2 linked regions of the Danio rerio genome follow. The protein of the gene in region 1 purifies or fractionates together with the protein of each later gene. This does not show direct contact. Links are inferred from orthologs where the notes say so. Each region holds a gene or a part of one and is shown on either strand. Other genes may lie near its edges.

The links. Proteins that work in one complex are often made in the same cells at the same time.
Region 2: the proteins of sqstm1 (region 1) and trim13 purify together in Homo sapiens (affinity purification with western blotting; 3 studies listed by BioGRID). This does not show direct contact. The link is inferred for Danio rerio from reciprocal best matches to the Homo sapiens genes SQSTM1 and TRIM13.

The regions. Positions count from the first base shown.
Region 1 is NC_133189.1:19,143,300-19,148,093, forward strand, and holds the end of sqstm1 (sequestosome-1), read left to right. Parts: exon of another isoform or gene 1-1,364; coding exon 1,365-1,696; exon of another isoform or gene 1,697-1,775; coding exon 1,776-1,917; exon of another isoform or gene 1,918-2,370; coding exon 2,371-2,451; exon of another isoform or gene 2,452-2,564; coding exon 2,565-2,743; exon of another isoform or gene 2,744-2,795; intron 2,796-2,853; coding exon 2,854-3,052; intron 3,053-3,151; coding exon 3,152-3,312; 3' UTR 3,313-3,762; downstream 3,763-4,794. Other genes in the region: mrnip (MRN complex-interacting protein), read right to left, coding at 3,916-4,578, 4,733-4,794. UniProt on the Homo sapiens protein: Molecular adapter required for selective macroautophagy (aggrephagy) by acting as a bridge between polyubiquitinated proteins and autophagosomes.
Region 2 is NC_133184.1:31,314,766-31,320,617, forward strand, and holds the start of trim13 (tripartite motif-containing 13), read left to right. Parts: upstream 1-1,706; 5' UTR 1,707-1,757; intron 1,758-2,104; coding exon of another isoform or gene 2,105-2,210; exon of another isoform or gene 2,211-2,229; intron 2,230-3,721; exon of another isoform or gene 3,722-5,777; 5' UTR 5,778-5,783; coding exon 5,784-5,852. Other genes in the region: spryd7b (SPRY domain-containing protein 7b), read right to left, coding at 1,590-1,706, 2,105-2,210. UniProt on the Homo sapiens protein: Endoplasmic reticulum (ER) membrane anchored E3 ligase involved in the retrotranslocation and turnover of membrane and secretory proteins from the ER through a set of processes named ER-associated degradation (ERAD).

The DNA of each region.
Region 1 (4,794 bases):
AAATAATCCTGTATAGTATTTATTCTATAAATAAAATACTGTTAACCTTTAATATTTTATTCAACCTAAATTCTGTAAATATGCCTATATTGTTTACAGAGTAACAGGCCTTAAAATCCCATGCAAATTATAAACTTTCACTCGTGATTGTCACGGTTTACAATTAATTCACACATTGTATTTGTTTTGTGATGCCTTTGCTACCGCCTTACTTTAAATCCTGCAGTTTGACTATCGTGAATGTACACACAGTGAAGTGTCAATAATGTGTGGGTGGTGCAACTCTTTGGGACTTTAAGTGTAAATGTAAGCCTAAATAGAATCTACAAATCCATTTTGTTGTCACAAGGAAACCATAAACGGGAATATCAGAGCGAACCTAACAAACAATCATATTTGGCTGCATCCAAAATCACATACTCTCTGTAGGTGGTGCTTTTAATAACTAGCTTCAGGCGTGTTCTATATAGTATGAATGCAATCTGCACCGACTGCATTCACATTATATTTGTGAAGTGACGTAAAGTTACAAAAGACATCTACCAGTTGTGTTGCTCCGCTGCCATTCTCAAAACATTTCCATGATCTCATGGGAAGGTAAATTTTTCCATCTGATGCATTCTTTGGAATATTACTAGATACAGCGAATTCTGGCATGCTACTTTTTGAATGCATCCAAGTTAGTAGGCTTTGAAAACATTGTTGTTGCGTTATGAAGACTAGATTAACTCAGAGCAGTTGGAGTAATTGTATTTGTAATATCAAAGTGTATTCTTCATCCTTAACTTCCATGTGTAAGCGTTCTCTTATTCTCAAGCTGCTGAGACAAACTTACTTAGGAATAGAGAGAAGTCATGAGCTAAGAGCAAAAGGCGTAGTCAACCTTGTTGCTCTGGATGACGTCAGCATCTTTAATAACTATGCAAACAGTGATTGGTTGATGGGGAGTCTATCAGAGATTGATTCAATAAAACTTTGTAGAGAACAATATTTCGTTGCCCTATTCAAATAGGGGGGGGGGGGGTAAATATTTTTGAAAACCTTTTTCTTTCCATAAGGGAATACTAGTGAGGATCTTTTGTGAAGATTTTGATTGGTTCTTGGATTCACTCTTGTTATTTGAGTACTAGAATACTATAAAACTAAAACACCTGCCACTTACATGTGCACAGTTTATAAGGTTGGAAAGATTACATGATTGGAAAGAGCGTCTAATGATGACATTAGATTTAAAGAGTGTGAATACTTTTTCATCTTGGATTCATCATTACGTACTTTGACCATACAAGCCTTTGAATATCTCAGATCTTTTGCAAATAGACATCTTCAATTAATAGCAATTATGTTATTTCCTTCTTTTTCAGAACGAAAAGAGCACAAACGTGATTCTTCTCCTCATGGAATTCCTGGGTTTCCGTTCACTACACCTCACTTTAGCCCTCCTGGTCCCTGTCATATGGGTCCATCTCCAATGGGGCCTCCAGGACCACCTCATATGGGGGGTCCTCCTCACCACCCTCACCCAATGGTGCACCCAGGTGTGACCTGTGACGGGTGTGATGGGCCGGTGGCTGGAACCCGTTACAAGTGCACCGTTTGCCCCGATTATGACTTGTGCCCCACCTGCCAGAGCAAAGGCCTGCACAAGGAGCATGCCCTCCTGCCCATCTTTCATCCTATGGCCAACGTGTTTGAGGTGAATAGCACTATTTTACTACATACAATACACTGCAAATGATCTGAATATTTTGGTTTGATTAATCTTTTGTGTGCAGTGGCTCCCTCGTGGGAAATTTTGGCGTAAGATGAGACACTGCATGTGGGCAAATGCTCAAGCTCAGGCTCAAAACCAGCCTCAGCCAGGTCCATCTGGAGCGCAGCAAAACCAGGATGCTCCTGAAAACCCAAATGAGAATGGTAAGCCAATCATTTAAAAGGGTCTATAGCAGAAGTCAACTCAGCTCCTGGAGGCTGAAGTCCCTCCAGAGATTAGTTCCAACCCTGAAACTGAGTAGGTTGTGTGTTTTTTTATAGAAAGAAGAGTGTTTCTACAGGTGGTTTGTCAATCCCACTCACCTGTGTAAAGCACACTTCAAATGTAAAGTTTTTTTGTAATGTGTCTTATGCAAGTGTCGGTTAAAGTGTCAAAATGATGGAGTGTGATTTCTACAGGTAGTTTTGTCAAGCCCACTTACCTGTGTGAAGCAGGTTTGTTTAATTAGGGTTAAAGTTAAACTTTGTAGAGCTGTGGCCCTCAAAAAACTGAGTTTTACACCCCTGGTCTATTGTAACAGGAGGAACTGGAACAGAATTGGGGCATGTCCAAAATTTTCCTGACTTTATTCTTTTTTTTTAATTATTATTTTATAGGTGCTACTGCCTCTTCTCAGGCTAACGTGGAGTACCTAAAGAACATCGGAGAAGAAGTGGCAGCCATGTTAAGCCCCCTTGGTAAGTCGCCTGCTTTGGTCTTTCCCAAATATTTGGTTCCAACACAATCTGATACTTCTTTGATTGGCATGTTAGGCAAAACCTCTGAAATAAAAGTGATTTTTCCTTTGTAGGCATAGATGTGGACATCGATGTTGAGCATGAGGGAAAGCGGACCAAAGTAACCCCAACTCCTCCTGCCTCCAGTGGACCATCCAGTGCTCGGAGTGACAGTGGTTCTGTGGGGCTTCTTTCTAGAGGCTCTGGTCCAGGAAGTCAGGCCACTGAAGAGAGCGTCAGTGAGGGAACAAAGGTAACAGATACCCTCTTAGCTGTAAAAGGCCTGATCGTCTCAAGTTTTCAACCTAGAAGGAGGCCACATATCATGTTAACGTTTATTCATTCTCTGTTTCAAAATGGCAGAAAGACCAATGTAGTGATGAGGAATGGACTCATCTTAGTGCTAAAGAGGTGGATCCTTCGACAGGAGAGCTGCAGTCTCTTAGACTAGAGCAGGACGGGGCAGATCTTCCAGCTCCACTAAATACTGCTTCTGGCACAAGCACCAGAGACGGTCCCACTGGTCTGCGCGAGGCAGCTCTCTACCCACACCTTCCTCAAGGTAAAGTGTATAATTATTTATGCCCAGTGATGTTCTCTATTCTAGGCTATCACTTTATATCAGTTGAAGCAATTCTAACTTTACTGCGCTCTCCTGCAGATGCAGACCCTAGGCTGGTGGAGTCTCTGTCTCAGATGCTCTCCATGGGTTTCACCGATGAGGGTGGATGGCTAACCAGACTGCTCCACACCAAGAATTACGACATCGGTGGTGCTCTGGACACCATCCAGTACTCCAAAACACCAGGACAACAGAAGTAGAGGTGGAGCACAGGAATACAGAAGACCTGGGCCATACTTAATATTTGAAGCTTCTGGCCTATTTTCTAACTTAGTCTTTCTATACTTTTAAAATGATAAATTTCCACAAATATTAACAATATCAATTACTCAGGTGACTAGTACATAGTTAAGTTCATCATTGGGCTTATATATGCAAAATGTTTGTCTTTAGCTTAACACTTGACATTATAAAGAACATTATTTTCATGTATGCATAATATTACGTAAAGGTTGTTAAGTAGAGATCTATATTTGTGCAACTTCACTTTATGGATTTTCTGTTTGCATAATCAATAAGCAGTTTCTAGATCAAGCATAAACCTGGAGGGTTTGTTAGTTTGAATAAACAGATGGAATCGGATTAATGTCGCTGTTGGTCTTCTAAAATTCCTGTCTTTTCTATCTACAATAAAACACTTCTCTAAAACATTCCTTGTGTTTTGGTGTTTTGGTATTTTGAAATGTACAGGACTAGTTATGAATACAAATGTAGATCAATGCTAATAGTTTAACAATTTATTATTATTTTAAGGAAAATATTACTTTTTTAACATTTTTAACCATCCTTGAAAGCAAACTTACCTAAAATGTGTCATCAAAGTCTTCATCTGTACAAAACAGTGGGTTTAAAGATAAGCTGGAATATGGTGCCTTGACCAGTACGGGTTTACAGACAGCATTTTCAAAGCCTACAGACTTTGTGAAGCTGGTGGTTGGACAGGATACATTTCCACCAACATCCTTCTGTCTGTTTAGAATGCCACTGTCCTTTTCATCTGCTGGACATCGGCGCTCTTCAAAATCCACACCAGTATCTGCTTTTGTGAAATAATGGATCTCAGTTTTCTTACCATTTTGAGATTCATAATCGTACACATCCTTGTCCTGAGTGGGGACGATGGTGAGAAATTTACTCCATTTGGAATCCTTGTTCTCAATTGTAGATTCACCAAATGTCTGATGAGAAGAAACAGAGGGGCTTTCGCTCTGGATGGGAAGGTGTTTGTTTACATCAGCAGTTGGAGGCCTATAGGAAGATTTAATCTGCTGTTTATTTCCAATAGAGTTTTCCATGGTGTTTGTGGAACTGGAGCAAGCTGTAGGGTAATGATCAACAGTCTGTCGGGATGATGGGAGTTTTGTTCTAGCACTTGGTACCACATCATCTGGTCTGTGGCAGTTTGAATATTTGGAAACACTCCCTTTATTCCATGATGAACTGGACCTCTTCTCAAGTTGTAGCGGCTACAGAAGATACAAAAGTGAAATGACTTTTCTATATATTTAATCTAATAATCTTTTTATTCCAGCATTACTGTCAGGTTTGTGCAGCGAGTCTGGACATTTTTCATAATCTCAGCATACAAATCTGTCATTAATATGGATATCTGTGACTTACCAGATGGGCCTGTTTCCTAAACTGGGAATAACCAGATCTTGATTCCTCGTAGTTATCACAAT
Region 2 (5,852 bases), on another chromosome or scaffold:
CATGATTAAAACACTGATCTAATAAGCAGGTGACATATAAAGTAGGGCTGGCCAATTTGGCCCAAAATTTAAATCTTGATTAACTAAACATTTTGACTCTGTTAATGAATGATTATATATTAATTTTATTTTTTGTTTTGCCCTCATATTTCACTGACAAGTTTTGTACAGTAAATATGCTCACATCACATATTACTAGTAAGAGATAGTTGAATGATGGGTGCATTATTGATTTTAAAATACCCTAAAACATACCCTATCTACTACTTACAATTATTTATTGAACATCAACGTTGAACAACTGAAATTAAAACACACATTACTCACAACCTTTTTTTACATTAACCAAAAAACTTTTTTCTTATTAAAAAGTAAAAATAAATTTGCGCTTTTGGAAACAAAATTAATTGGTTTCATTATTTTTCATATTAAAAGTAAAAAATATGTAGTATCTAAATCAAAATAACTAAATTAATAGTTTCTTCATCAAATAACTTGCAATTCCTGTACATAATATTTTATACTGTGCATTTCTAACATCTTTAAACAAATATTTTAATGTAAATAATAACTTTAATGTAATGGACAATATGCCGTCTCAAGGCATCACTGGCGTTTTCGACACATATATATATATGAGCAATATCACACTCGTAGCAGTGCGATATGGCTGTATATCGGCACTGGTGGGAGCCGTGCGTGCCTTAGTGCCCCCACCAGTGCCGATATACAGCCATATCGCACTGCTACGAGTGTGATATTGTGTTTATAAAACAGTTTGACGGCATAATAGTGTATATAAAAACTAAATTAAACATGGAGAGTCTCAAAAACCCTTTTTTATGAGGAACTACTTTCTTCCGCCTTTGATTCAAATCATAAGCTGACAGTTAAACAGCTGAGCAAGCATCTTTTAAACTTTAGATCTGTAGTGTCTGCTTTTTGCTGGTTGTATGTGGAGGGAGTAATACACAAAGGGTAAAGGGGCTTTACGGGTGCTGATATTACTTAAATATATCACGGCTATCAGCCAATCAGATTCAAGAACCAGACAGAACTGTTGTATAAATATAAACACAGACACACACACAACACTAAAACAGTTAAATGTTGCAATATTAAAATAGTTTAAATTTGTTTACTCGTGCAAAAGCAGTGTTTACATTTTATAGCTAAAATTAATTAACTTACTAACGATCAAAGAGAGAACTGGAGGGGTCAGATATAAGTTATTTTGACTTTGACCGTCAGTAAAATAAAAACCTCCTGTTTTACAATGACAATTCTTTTCTAATGCTTTAATTAAATTAGTTAACTATAAATATGTGTGTAGTTGTATACACTGTATTCTAAACGTTTTGTATCTAAATTTTACTATAAACTTAATGTCAGCTACCAGTAATCTCTCCGAAAAGGTAAACGAATCCTCCTGACAGCTACTCGTCACTACAAAGTTTGCATGGGTAATATCAGACATTAAAAACACAAATCTAAAAGAGATTACTTTACAGCGTTTTCGACACATAATTAAACATCCGATCAATTTTCTACCTGTGCTGTGCAGTAAGAGCTGTGGAGAAAGCGCTCACCCGTGGACTGGATCTTGAATTCAAAATAGCTCTTGTTCTGGTGGAGAGGGGCGTTGGCGAGACAGGCTCCAGTTCCACAGATCCGCCTCCCGCTTTTCACGATGACCACATCCGTCCCTGGGAAAAAAGGCCGAGCAAACTCTCATGCCCACACAGCTACAACACAAGGTACGTATTTCATGTTTTCAGAGATTTCAGCAGAAAACGAGACTGAGATGAAAGTCACATCATGGGTTCACTAGATTAAAATAAAATCAAAGCAAACACTGGGATCTGACAGCTGTATGCTAGCATCTAGCATCTGATCCAGAGTAGTTTGGGCTACTTAGCTGATTTGAGAGTGAAATTACATGTATGAAAACATTTTCTTAAAGACCAATAATGGCAGAGCTGTTTATTATTTCGTGTTCAGGTCGTTGTTTTGAGGATATAACGTTAGCACAGTCTGCTAGCGCCGCTTTTCGCTATTACATGTGTGTTCTGTGACCCTGAACATCAGTGGTAGTGGCTCTTACCCATGTGATGCGTGTCTAGCTGAACGGTGGGCATTTCTTTGAGGGGCGCATGACCCGGTCCACCGTCCCCGCAGCAGCCCAAACAACACGTAAACACTGCGGCCATTCTAGCGCCGAGATCACCGGAAGTGCACTTACACGCGTCAGACTGAAGAGCGCACACGCTTCCAGAATAGAGAGGAGCTCATGGAAAAATCATTGCTAGCTGATGCTGATTTTCTCCTGACGCACGCTAAATTCCTCCTCAAGGGGGCGCTAACAGGCTCAGAAAGGCCAGTCTTGCTGTCAAACTATTATATTGGGAAACTTTTTACACACACAAATGTTTAAAACAAGTTGCTTAAGTAATTCTTAACTATTTAAAAAGCATTTATTTCTACAAAATTATTTTTGTACTCACAAATGACTAAAAATGATCTAACAACGAAAAAAAAATCTTAAATCTGGGGTCCCCAATCTCTAGGGCTGGTGTCTCTGCTGAGTTTACCTCCAACTCTAAATGAACACAACTCCCTGGAATTTTCAACTCCAATAGCTTGATTAACATGTTCAGGTGTAGTGTTGGGGGAAGTTCCTTTTAAAAGTAATGCAATATTGAATTGGTTCCAAATTAGTAACTAGTTGCTTTACTTAGTTACTTTTTAGGGTACACAATGTGTTGTTACTTTTAAGTTTCTGTTTCGTTTACTTTCAGAATTTGCAGGGTTTTTTCTCTAATTTCTTTCTTTTTTAAAATAGAGGAGCCCTGCAATTAACAACACACTGTATTAATTTCATTTTCCTTTAAAAACACACACACATAAAAAAAATGAAGGTAGGATATTATCCTCCGAAAACTTCCTGACCCCAGAGACATGCCATATACACAGAATCATAAAAGTTTAAAGTAACATGTTTGCTACTTTTGCACTTTTTGTCTTATTAAAAAGTAAAATCACTGCCCATTCAGATGATCCTCTTTTCCTGTTCTTACATGTGTTCAAAATAATGAGAATTTTCCATCACAGATATGTAAGGCTCTGCCACTTTCATTTTGGACTGTTCCTGCATTCTCCCATAAAGTGCGTGATTCAACATGACTACGTTCATTTTAATTTAGCATTTAATTTTGTCAAAGCAAAATAAACTAAAAGGTAAGCCGCATTACATTTTTTAAATAAGTAACTCAAATATTATTACTTCATTTTGAAAAGTAATGCGTTACTTTACTCGTTACTAGGAACAGTTATATTATTATGTAACTCGCTTTACTTTTAATGGGTTATCCCCAACACTGTTCTGGTGTGTGAGGTTAGTGTTGAGCTAAACTCTGCAGGACACCGACCCTCCAGGAACAAGATAGGTGACCCTTGTCTCGAACATACTAATAATTTACATCACAATGTTCACACAGAAAAGCTTTAGAGTCTAATCATTTTACCATTGGCATTAATTCATTATTTTCTAGCATTCGACGATTCTCAGTGCAATACTGATTACATGTAATCTGGATTAAATGATCACATTCGAAGAAAAATTAAAAAATTTTTAATACTCAGATTGAAATTCTGTATGCATTAAATAATATTTAATGTAGGATTAAGTTCAAACCTGCTTTTGTTTTCATTATTTCCATTATTTCCATTTCATGCTTATTAATGTATATTTTTATGATTTCATTATTAGCTTTTTATTGAATCACAAAGTCCCTGCAGTTCCTCCACAAATCAGTCTATTCAAACTTGTGTTATAAAAGAGTTCTTAAAAGTAGTGAACTGATCAAATACTTGAATAACTGTATTTGGTGTAATGTCATTTGTAAGTATACAATGACTTTTAATGGCAATGAAACTTATACAGTAGCAATAGAAAAACAGATAAACTCGCATTATAACAAGCATGGTATTTTTCATTTACTTTATTATGATTATTCACAGGGGAGTTTTTTTTTTTTTTAAACAGAACTGAGAATAAACGCTATAGCAGTACTTACAGCAACAAATTGCAAAAAAAGTTTTAAACAGAGGAGAAAAATGTCATCACCTCTCAATAAAAATAACAGCATCATTACTGCAGTCTTAAATGTCACGTGATCCTTCAGAAATCAACCTAATATGCTGCGAGTAAGATTATATGTTATTTGGATGATTGGAAAATGTCACATTCATTGCCGTGTGCTTTAAGTTCAAAACTAAGATTTCTTATTAACTGATCAGAAAAGTTTCAGTTAAAAGCAGTGAGATCATATAACACTTCGTGTTGATGAATTCGAGGGATGAAACCGTATGCATTAAAATGCAGTTATATGAACTGATGTGCCATAAAAACAAACATTCAGAAGCACTTATCCTATTTCTGTGACAGATCACTGGGACTCTCGCCCTCTCGTGGCCAATTACGTCATTGCATACGCTTTCATCCCTGATTCGACCAATGAGCGCGGCGCTTCAGAAGCCGTTCTCTTCCTGATGGCATGGAAACAGGGGAAGAAAAATCGAGGTCAAAATATTTTGACACGTGACTCGGTAGCGATTGGTTATCGATGCGTCAAGACCCTGACACATGGCACGGGCATATGCGACCAAAGTGGCGTGATGGAGGACCATCTTTGTGGCAGAAAATACGGACGCGCTTTTTAGTGTCTGCCTGCAAAGCCATGACTAGATCGAAATGAAAAGCGCGTAGTTACTGCACTTGACTGAATGGATGAATTAGGCGTCTATGTGGGTACATGATGGGTAACGCCAGTATTGACGTAATCTGTGGAGAAACGCTGATCTAGGAGAGAGCGCGAGTGCTCCCCCGCAACAACCCCATCCAAGAATGAAGGGATCCTCTGCATTTATTGCTCACAGCACGAAACGTGTGTTCAGCTACCCGAGTCTCCAAATACACTGCGTTACGCGGATATTGCGCGCAATGTGGCAGTGAAACCTTTACATTCAGATGCACTGATCATTAGCTGTTCGTGCGCATTCATTTTAACTGCCTGACCATTACTGCCTTGACCTGAACTAGTTAAAATTTCCCAATTGGAAAGGGCGAATTCTGCACAGCAACAAGAGCCACGATTGCGTTGCACACTGCCTAAGCAGTTAGTGCGCTTCTGGTCCAATTGCTGATGCTTTCCTCCTGCAAAATCTGCCACAACCGTAGTAATACCTTGACAACCGAACCCAGGCTTACAGAGAAACATTTTTGACAACTCGACGACGGAGATATCAAATCAATAGCTTGAAGTTTGTTGGACAGGTCATCGGATATTCCTGCGCGAAAGTTCTCACGCGGGCAATTAAGAATGAAGTACTGGTGCAGTCAGGAGTCTTCATCTGCAGGCAATCTGAACTAGTTCATATTTGGTTAACCAGTCGTGCCTCACCACACAATCGCTTGAAATGCAGTGGAAAATGCGATGCACATCATATTGATAAAAATTGCTACATTTATACAGCCTATTTGGTTTAATTTCAGTGTAGCGTCGTAACGCGTTATCGCAATATAAAAGCTTTTTTCGAGGCAAAATAAAATAATTGTATGCTTATGATGTGCAAAACGACACAGGGCAGCGCTGAGTGCTCTCGACTTCTCACTCGGTGTGAGATGCACGAGAAGGAAGCTTGCCGAGATGATGAGAGTTGTATTGATGTGCCATGCCCCCGACAAGCTTTCATATCAATATCTTTTTCCACTTTAGGACAGGATGGAGCTTTTGGAGGAGGACCTCACGTGCCCAATCTGCTGCTGTCTGTTCGAGGACCCGCGCGTTCTG